Linked DNA regions of Caenorhabditis elegans. The protein of the gene in region 1 binds, or shares a complex with, the protein of each later gene. Each region holds a gene or a part of one and is shown in the gene's direction. Other genes may lie near its edges.

Region 1 (3,939 bases):
TTTGATTTACTGTGGGCTTTTGAAGAGAGGAGATATACAAAAAAACATTGCTAGGAAGAAATCACCAATTCGATTTACAATATATATATATGGTCAACCTAAACGTAAAACATTGAATATTATAAAATCAAAATTAATTCACGATGGACCGTTTTTGAACATAACTTTTACAAGCTTCATCATGACAATGATAATATGACGATCTTATGATTTTGCTTTCACAGTGTGCGAGGAAACGAGTAAACAGAATAACGAAAGAAGAACAATATACTCGTTCTGCTAATCAGTGTAGTCGGTATTCGATTGTTCTCCTCCCCTAATTTTTTCCACGGAGAGTCCTGTTGAGAATGGATTCTTCAGCTAGCTTCAACAGCTTCTCCTTCTTCTTCTTGTCTTGTGTCTGTTTCTACTTCTCTATCTAGTTGTTCGTCAACTTTTTATGAATAGCCGCCAATCGGTCGGGACGGCGGCGCAAATTGCGGGAAAGAGATGCCGGGGACGCGCTTGACTCTTTTTTTTTCTCGCGCGTTCACAAGATTTCTGGGCGATGGAAGAGGAGACAAAAATTCTAATGACAAAAGGTGTCGCTGTGGTGATGCAGGAAAAAGACAAGAAAACCTGATTGCAATCCATTTTTTTTTCAGGGAGCTACGCCGACACTTGGAGATATCGATGATGATCTTCTCGGATGGGGTGATGACGATTTGGATAGCACCTTGAAAGAGGTATGTACTTTAGAAAATAGTTTTGAAAAAATATTACCTATTATCAAAAAAAATTCCGTTCGTCGTTTAGCCAATGATGTATGAAATTTTAAGCAAAGAAATTGATACTCAAGACAGCTCGCTGATTAGAAAAAAAAAACAAAAATTATGTAGTAATCTAGAAATGTAAACCTGTCATTTCTGTGTATTTCAGCACCGCGAAGAGCACCATAAACAGCTACAACAAGAGCACGAACGTCGGCTCCAACAGAAAAAGCTGCAAAACGCTGGTACTCACCACATGCTCTGATAATTGCCATTTCCTTCGATTTCTGACTTTCAATTGTGATATGATAACCTCAAAATCTCCATTCAAAATGAAAACTCTTAAATTTAAGAGCTTTCAACACCCCGCACTTTCCCACCTCATCGTTTTTCCCTTCTATCTTATCAATTTTTTGTATTTTGTGTCAGTTTGCTATATCCTCATCACCTTTTTTACCGTTTAATCTCTCTATAGTATTGTTCGGGTGTTTCAAGATGAAACGTTTTGTGTGTAGCATTTTTGAAACACAGCGCGAAAAATGCAGAAACTATCATCCACAATGCATTAAGTGCACTCATTGTGATGACTCCTAACCCCCTCGCCCCACCAGTTGTCTCTTCACAAATTCATGGCACAATTCAAAAATGGCTTTTTGTGTTGGATCTTGATCTCGTCTCTTTCCTTCTTCTTTCGTTTCTCTCGGACCACTCATTATTCGAATGCCATGCATTTGTTGATGATGCGCAGCGATGGTCGCACACACTACAACAGATATGATGGTGGCTGTGCGTGGTGCAGAGCTCATGAATAAGTGATGGGGCACCGAGATGTGACTCCTCCCATTATTCGTCTTGAGTCGCATCTTTTGTCTTGGTCCGTTGTCAGTCGAGCCTCAAGGCAGCCGTTCCGCCAGTGATCGCCTGCTAAGAAGTTGTAGGTGTAGAGGAAGAAACGTCGGGTCCAAATTTCAAGCAACATGCGCGAGATCGTTCATATTCAAGCCGGACAATGCGGTAATCAAATCGGTTCGAAGGTTAGTATTTTCAGTTATAATGTTCCTAGTTGTGCTTTATGCCAAGCAATTTCAGTTCTGGGAGGTAATATCCGATGAACACGGCATTGACCCATCTGGCCAGTATGTGGGAGACTCTGATCTTCAACTCGAAAGAATCAACGTCTACTATAATGAGGCCGGAAGCAACAAATATGTTCCAAGGTATAGATATAGTTTGTTTTGTCATAATTTTTCATGAAATTATTTTTTGATCTAGACGTTTTCCATGATTTTTGACATATACCGATTTTGTCCACCGTTTACCTAACTGTATGTTTTTCAGAGCTGTCCTTGTTGACTTGGAGCCAGGAACCATGGATTCTGTCCGTTCTGGACCATTCGGACAACTTTTCCGTCCAGACAATTACGTATTTGGTCAAAGCGGTGCTGGAAACAATTGGGCCAAAGGACACTACACCGAGGGAGCAGAACTTGTAGACAATGTTCTTGACGTTGTCAGAAAAGAAGCAGAAAGCACAGATTGCCTTCAAGGATTTCAACTTACTCACTCACTTGGAGGAGGTACTGGATCTGGAATGGGAACCCTTCTCATTTCAAAAATTCGCGAGGAATATCCTGACCGGATAATGAACACCTTCTCGGTAGTTCCAAGTCCAAAAGTATCCGACACTGTAGTCGAACCCTACAATGCCACCCTCTCTGTCCACCAGCTTGTCGAGAACACCGACTCGACGTTCTGCATTGATAATGAGGCCTTGTATGACATCTGTTTCCGCACTCTGAAACTGACGACACCGACATATGGAGACCTTAACCATCTGGTCAGTGCCACAATGAGCGGCGTCACTACTTGCCTCCGCTTCCCTGGTCAACTCAATGCGGATCTACGAAAGTTGGCAGTGAACATGGTTCCATTCCCACGTCTTCACTTCTTCATGCCAGGATTCGCACCACTGACTAGCAGAAGCAATCAGCAGGTTTGAATAATGAAAAAAAAACAACTTTGTGATAACTTAGTTTTTAGTATCGTGCCATTACTGTCCCTGAGCTGACCCAACAATGTTTCGACGCAAAGAACATGATGGCTGCATGCGATCCAAGACATGGACGTTATCTCACCGCTGCTGCCATTTTCCGAGGAAGAATGAGCATGAAGGAGGTTGACGAGCAGATGCTCAACATCCAGAACAAGAACTCTTCCTACTTCGTGGACTGGATTCCAAACAATGTCAAGACCGCAGTTTGTGACATTCCACCAAGAGGATTAAAGATGTCCGCAACATTCATCGGAAACTCCACCGCCATTCAAGAGCTCTTTAAGAGAATCTCAGAGCAGTTCACAGGTAAAATTTTACGATTTGTATTTTGACTAATTTCATATTTTTTCCAGCTATGTTCCGCCGCAAAGCTTTCCTTCATTGGTACACTGGCGAGGGAATGGACGAGATGGAATTCACTGAGGCGGAGAGCAACATGAACGATCTTGTTTCGGAATACCAACAATACCAGGAGGCAGCTGCTGATGAAGATGCCGCCGAAGCGTTCGACGGAGAGTAAATCATATTTCCTAACCAAGTTTTATTGATCGATTGTTATATCATTTTATTCAGCCTTTTTGCTTTGCTTTTTTTTTCATGGGGATTTCACAATTGATAAATTTTGATTAGCTAAACAACTGTTAAACACGGAATTTAAGGCTTGTTTTTTTTTTAATCAAAAAGCTCACTATATACAATTAGAGATCGGAAAAAACGAATGAAGGTGAAACGTGTTACAGCATTGTATACTACATCTTGAGAAACCCAGTTCAAAATTAACGTTATATAATAGTTGTTCAAAAGAGAGTTGGTATTTATATTGATACGAAAGCGTCTGACTTTCGCCCTGATCCAACTGTAATTTGCCGTTTATCTTCTGGAACATCTTTCCTTTTTGTGCTCTGTCTCAGAAGTTTTTCTTCGTGCCGACTTTTAAAGAAAAGGGAAATCATATCAACAAGCAGAACACAAACTTCCATCACGGTGATTACGGAGAATCCTGAATTTATTGCCTTCGTTCCTAGTCTCAAATCATTCTTTCATACCTAGCCAAAGTCCTAAATGTCCTCCAAAATCGGCGATCAAGTTAACCAAACCGTATGCCTCTGATTCTTGAAGCAGTTCGTAGTTCAGTTG
Region 2 (4,948 bases), 1.9 Mb from region 1:
ACAAATTCCCATACGATTCGGGAGAGTTGTAGCATTTTGAAATATATCTTGGCATAGTAGTTTTGCAATCGAAGCATCTGCTCAGAGCTCTTTTTTTGAGTAGTCATAGTAATATTATTTTTACTAACATCATATTCAAAATAATTTTTTGTATATTTGAAATTATTGATTCGTTTTGAAATTTATGCATAGTATACTTTTTCAATAGGGTTGCACAAAATATATATGGATTTTAATAGTATCTACGTTTTTGGTCTAGCAAATAATATTGAGTTTTAAACTTTTTCTCTTCAATTTCGACCAGTTTAAATGTGATGAACAATAGAGCAACTCGGTAATTGGTTTTTAACTTTCAAATATATTTTTTCGCGGAAATGTTTTTTAAAATGATAAAAACTGCATAGTTTTATCTGAGAAATCAAAAATTGTTTCTATTTTTGATCAATTTATATTTTTAAAATCAATGCATCTGACTCCTACAATTTTTTCGTTTTTTCGATTAGTTGTTTAAATCTGTTTTAAAATGTATAAAATAATCTATAATACATTTCTAAAATAATTTATCCAATGAAATTATATTTCTGTTCACTGCATAGATTTGGTTGGGAAGTAAAATTAAAAATGCCACATTTTTTAAAAATAACATTCATTCGAATTGTACTATTTTTCAAAATTAACTCATCTGTGGGTTTATTGTCTTAAACTGTACGATTATTAGCAAACCAAAAAAAATCTGGGCTTTTTCATAGTTTTTTATCGTTTTTTTCACAAATTTTTCTCATATTTTCCTTTGATATTCCTAACTATTTGACTGAGTAATACAATTTATAGACGGAGTTGGGAAATCGGATTTTTGTCTTAATATTTAGCAAAAATATGCTGGTGTTATACAGGTAATCGCTGATTGGTTGCATTAGTCATTTTGGAAAAATTCAAACAAAAAAATTAGCAGAAGCTGGTAATTTGCAATTTTACGAACTGGACTTTTTCATCTTCCACTATTTATTTTCATTTGGTTTGTCGAAAGTCCACCTTTGAGACAATAATCGCAAAAGTAATAGTCCATATTTAATTACTCTCCACTCGAACCTGTTCGATTGTATAATGTTTGCACAAAAATGAATATTTCATAACTATACTCCGTCATCAATGTGCAAACATTCATACTCGAGCACTTGTACCACATTCTTAAACTTTCCCTCCGCAGTTCTTCATTCACCCACCTGCTTTGATTTTCTCCGCCAATCAATCGAGAAGTATTCAGTGAATCATAAATAAATGACATGTGTGTATCCCATCAAGTTTTTTTTCTCGCATCCTATTTCTTTCCCTTCCTTTTTTTTTCGTACCCCGTTTTATTCCTTCTCTCTTTTCCATATATTGCGGCCGAGGCCAGTAGTCTCGTGTCTTCCGCCCATTTTCTTTAATCGCGTACATAGTCCCTCTCAACTTATCCCAAATTTGTTTCCTTCAGTCCAGCTTAAGTTTCATACTATTTTTCTGTATCACTTTTGTTGCAGAAACATGGAGATCGCATTCGATTTGTCAACAATTTTTACGGATAACATTCAACGTCTCACTCGAACTGACCTATTGAAGTATGGACCAAAACGATATTGGGCTGTGGCTCAAAGTATAGATTGCCTGGGTGAAATGTCATCAAAGGTAGGTTCATGTTTTTTTCCAGAACTTTTTTGAAGGTTATTAACAATGCAAAACTTTTTATATGGCTTAGACAATTGAAAATGCACGGCATTTGTCTTTTTTTTTGCAGTTCCACGGATGGAAGAGAGTCATCACAATGTATGACAAGATCGTTGACCATGACGAGGAGCAGACGACCTACATTATGTGGGAGAAAGTTAATGGGTAAGGCATTTTGAAAGTGAAAACTGGAAATTATAAATTAAAAAAGTGGAAAGAATGTTTCAAAGGTGGAGTAGCGAAATGTGTTGCACATTTTGATCCTTGGCTTCGCGTTTTGAATTTAATACGTTTTGAATTTAATACGTTTTTATTAATAAGTATGAAAATTTTGGAATATTTAAAATGTTTGTTTTTTTGTAAATTGATAAACGCAATAAGGATTGCAACATTAAATAGTAGTTTAAAATTAAAAAAAAAAGATTTTTGAAAAGCTTTCATGAGGTTTTCATATACCTGAATATTGCAGTGTGTATATGAAAAAAAAAGATATAACTTTCAATAATTTGTCCATACCTCTTACTAATAGTAAGACCGTATTTTGAACTTCGAATTTCTTACTTGAATAAATCCTTATATAATCCTTATATATAAACCAACAATCTTTGTTATTGCAAAAAATATATATTGATATTAATTCTAAGAATTTCCAGTCAACAGTTTGTTTTGGTTTTGGCGAATAACCCAATTTTTGAATTTAGAGTTTTGTTGCTTTGCATCCTACAACGCATAATTAAATATAAGTTTCAAATTTATTTTAGTTTTGACTAAAAATATAAATGTAAAACTTAAAAATATATATTTTGGAATTCAATTTTTTTTGCTCATGATTAAAACTAAATTGGGAAAATCGTTCAAAAAAAAAGTTATCTTAATTATTGCTTTTCAGAAGCAAAAGTATACTCAAAGGGTTGCTTCGAGTTGGATATAAAACGCTTTATCTGACAGATAATGAACAAAATCAGTACATGGAAAAAGCAATGTGCATTTTGGACTTTTTCGTTGTGCCCACCGAACAACGCTCCGGAAATGGATTCAAAATGTTTGATGAAATGTTAAAAGTATGTTTTTTTAAATGTTTGTAGAAAAGTGACTTAGAGTTTTTAAATGTTCTACTTCAGGCTGAAAACGTAACAGTAGACCAATGCGCATTCGACAAACCATCAGCTGCTCTCCAACAATTTCTAGAAAAATATTATGATAGAAAAGATTTGGGTAAGTAAATTGCATTCTTGTACCACCGATACATTACAAAATTCGGCCGACAGCAAAGACCGACAAGGTAGATACAGCTCACAGCACCTAAACATACCCGATACTAGTGGATTTCGCACTGGATTAGCTGTTGCTCGCAACCGCAGACTTATTCCGGGTTCCGCGCTAAAGCATACTTTGCATGGAAGTAGCTGGAGCTCTGATAAGCTGATAAGATAATGCATTTTGAAGAGAGTGCTGAATGAGTGAGCAACAATGAAATCACCCGAGTTTCGTTGGCAATGAGCAGTTGTCTTTCATTAGTCATAATCAAAAGTTTTGTTTTTTTAGTAGTATGTCATTAATAATTGGTGTGGAATAAAAAGTTAATATGAAACAAATAAAACATTGATACAATATTCTATTGAAAACTAGTCCATAAAAATAGCTGAATAAAACTCGAATTTGTTATTAATTTTTGCTCGTAAAACAGAAAAATTTATTTCCTCCACTTTCTTGACAGAAATGGATCCCAAAACCTAATTTTAAGCTGAGTTTCATTTGAAAATGTTTAAACACTTTTAGAAAATTCAAATAGGAAAGAATTATTGAACTCATCCATTTTTATCAATAATACTTGTCGAAAGCTTGCCGGAAATGTATTTATGATTACTTAGTATTTTGAATTTTGAACTAATAAAAATACCAGAACGATATTGTTTAAAATCTTTTTAAAAATCAAACTATCGCTCTATTTTCAAATTTGAATTAAATTGCATAAGTAGTTAGTTCACAGTTTTAAAAACTTTATCAATCCATTGTTAGTTTCTTAAATTTATTTCAGTCTTTGGATGCCAAATTATATTCAGAAAAAAAAGCCTTACTTGCAACAGTCATCAATTTGTATGCAAAAAACTTGATACTTAGTTTACGACCGTATTATATGTAGAAATTCTCATCATCCGCAACATTTCCAGTATGGCAATCAAACAAATATGCATTATGTTCAAATTTTTTCATTGGACGTCACCCAACTGTTCCATTCACCCCTCGCCAGACAAAACGAGCGTCTCGAGCCAGTTCAGCTGTGTCCAGTCATGCATCCAGCCGTAACACCTCCCCAATTGGGGTTTGTGAATAAAAAAATAGTTGTTTTGCAAAAAATAATATTTCAGCGCAATCGCCCCCGTCACGACTCGGTTGCTGATTTGATGCGCCAGGATATGTTAGCCGGAGTGCGTGCTGAAGTAGACCCAAATAGTCCAACAGGCTTGAAAAATGCTCGAGATTTTGGACATCGCCGGATTTGGTGATAAGCTGCTAGTTTTTGATTATTTACTTTGGCGGCAGTACACAATAAATATGCCTCCTTGCCTTAGTTATGATCTCATGATTTTTGATATTTCAATCCTTTTTCATAATTCTTCTAATCGCTTAATATCAAAGTTGGCTGTTTTCAAACTCAAAATAATAAATACGAATTATTCATACACAATGAACATAATTATTTAATTTTTAAAATATCAACAAAAAACTCGTAATAAAAGATAGAATGTAATTAGATGATTGAGTTAAATTTTCAGTTATGGTATTACTAACCGGAGTACGTCTGAAGCTAATGCTGAACCGATTGGGATTGTGGCCTAAAATGCAAAAGTTTTTGATTGATGGTAACCTAAACAGGTATCTAGAGAGATCTAGAGTTCAATTAACCGAATAGGGTCGTTTTTTTTTCAATTTTAAAAAGTTGCACTCACTTTGTGAAAGACAGTTTCTCCAAATATCCATAACCAGCTCTGTGCATAGGCTATGGTAGAATAGTAATCGGATTGTAACCGTGTGTGCTTGATTCCACTGAAAACCGATGCTACGATATCATTCACAATAATTCGCCCGTTTTTTGTTATTGGGGCATAAATTCCCTTTCTTTCGGTTATCGATATTCTCATGACTCTTTGTTGGCGAAATTTTCCCTAAAATAGAAATCAATTGTTATTGGAAAACTGAACAGAAAACTTACTTTGTAAAGAAGAACTAGACAATCTCCAAC

Evidence for each region. The genes of interacting proteins can lie anywhere in the genome.
Region 2: the proteins of mec-7 (region 1) and atat-2 are in contact, whole or in part, in a cryo-EM structure (PDB 8Y9F), measured with the Caenorhabditis elegans proteins. Residues at the interface, in NP_509313.1 of Caenorhabditis elegans: Gln15 (codon at 1,769), Ser18 (codon at 1,778), Lys19 (codon at 1,781), Glu22 (codon at 1,845), Ser33 (codon at 1,878), Ser75 (codon at 2,125), Val76 (codon at 2,128), Arg77 (codon at 2,131), Ser78 (codon at 2,134), Gly79 (codon at 2,137), Pro80 (codon at 2,140), Phe81 (codon at 2,143), Gly82 (codon at 2,146), Gln83 (codon at 2,149), Leu215 (codon at 2,545), Lys216 (codon at 2,548), Leu217 (codon at 2,551), Thr218 (codon at 2,554), Thr221 (codon at 2,563), Tyr222 (codon at 2,566), Gly223 (codon at 2,569), Asp224 (codon at 2,572), Asn226 (codon at 2,578), His227 (codon at 2,581), Leu228 (codon at 2,584), Phe270 (codon at 2,710), Pro272 (codon at 2,716), Leu273 (codon at 2,719), Thr274 (codon at 2,722), Arg276 (codon at 2,728); in NP_001379875.1 of Caenorhabditis elegans: Gly238 (codon at 4,131), Arg240 (codon at 4,137), Thr249 (codon at 4,164), Lys252 (codon at 4,173), Asn253 (codon at 4,176), Arg255 (codon at 4,182), Asp256 (codon at 4,185), Phe257 (codon at 4,188), Gly258 (codon at 4,191), His259 (codon at 4,194), Arg260 (codon at 4,197), Arg261 (codon at 4,200), Ile262 (codon at 4,203), Trp263 (codon at 4,206).

The regions. Positions count from the first base shown.
Region 1 is NC_003284.9:7,774,354-7,778,292, reverse strand, and holds mec-7 (Tubulin beta-1 chain), read left to right. Parts: upstream 1-1,603; 5' UTR 1,604-1,726; coding exon 1,727-1,783; intron 1,784-1,838; coding exon 1,839-1,966; intron 1,967-2,087; coding exon 2,088-2,742; intron 2,743-2,789; coding exon 2,790-3,108; intron 3,109-3,155; coding exon 3,156-3,322; 3' UTR 3,323-3,437; downstream 3,438-3,939. Other genes in the region: ZK154.4 (uncharacterized protein), read left to right, coding at 645-725, 919-1,014; Degenerin deg-1, read right to left, coding at 3,618-3,802, 3,849-3,939. UniProt on the Caenorhabditis elegans protein: TTubulin is the major constituent of microtubules, a cylinder consisting of laterally associated linear protofilaments composed of alpha- and beta-tubulin heterodimers.
Region 2 is NC_003284.9:5,847,584-5,852,531, forward strand, and holds atat-2 (Alpha-tubulin N-acetyltransferase 2), read left to right. Parts: upstream 1-1,516; 5' UTR 1,517-1,524; coding exon 1,525-1,665; intron 1,666-1,774; coding exon 1,775-1,869; intron 1,870-2,593; coding exon 2,594-2,765; intron 2,766-2,825; coding exon 2,826-2,919; intron 2,920-3,875; coding exon 3,876-4,027; intron 4,028-4,073; coding exon 4,074-4,211; 3' UTR 4,212-4,388; downstream 4,389-4,948. Other genes in the region: hog-1 (HintN domain-containing protein), read right to left, coding at 4,482-4,541, 4,656-4,871, 4,919-4,948. UniProt on the Caenorhabditis elegans protein: Specifically acetylates 'Lys-40' in alpha-tubulin/mec-12 on the lumenal side of microtubules. Promotes microtubule destabilization and accelerates microtubule dynamics; this activity may be independent of acetylation activity.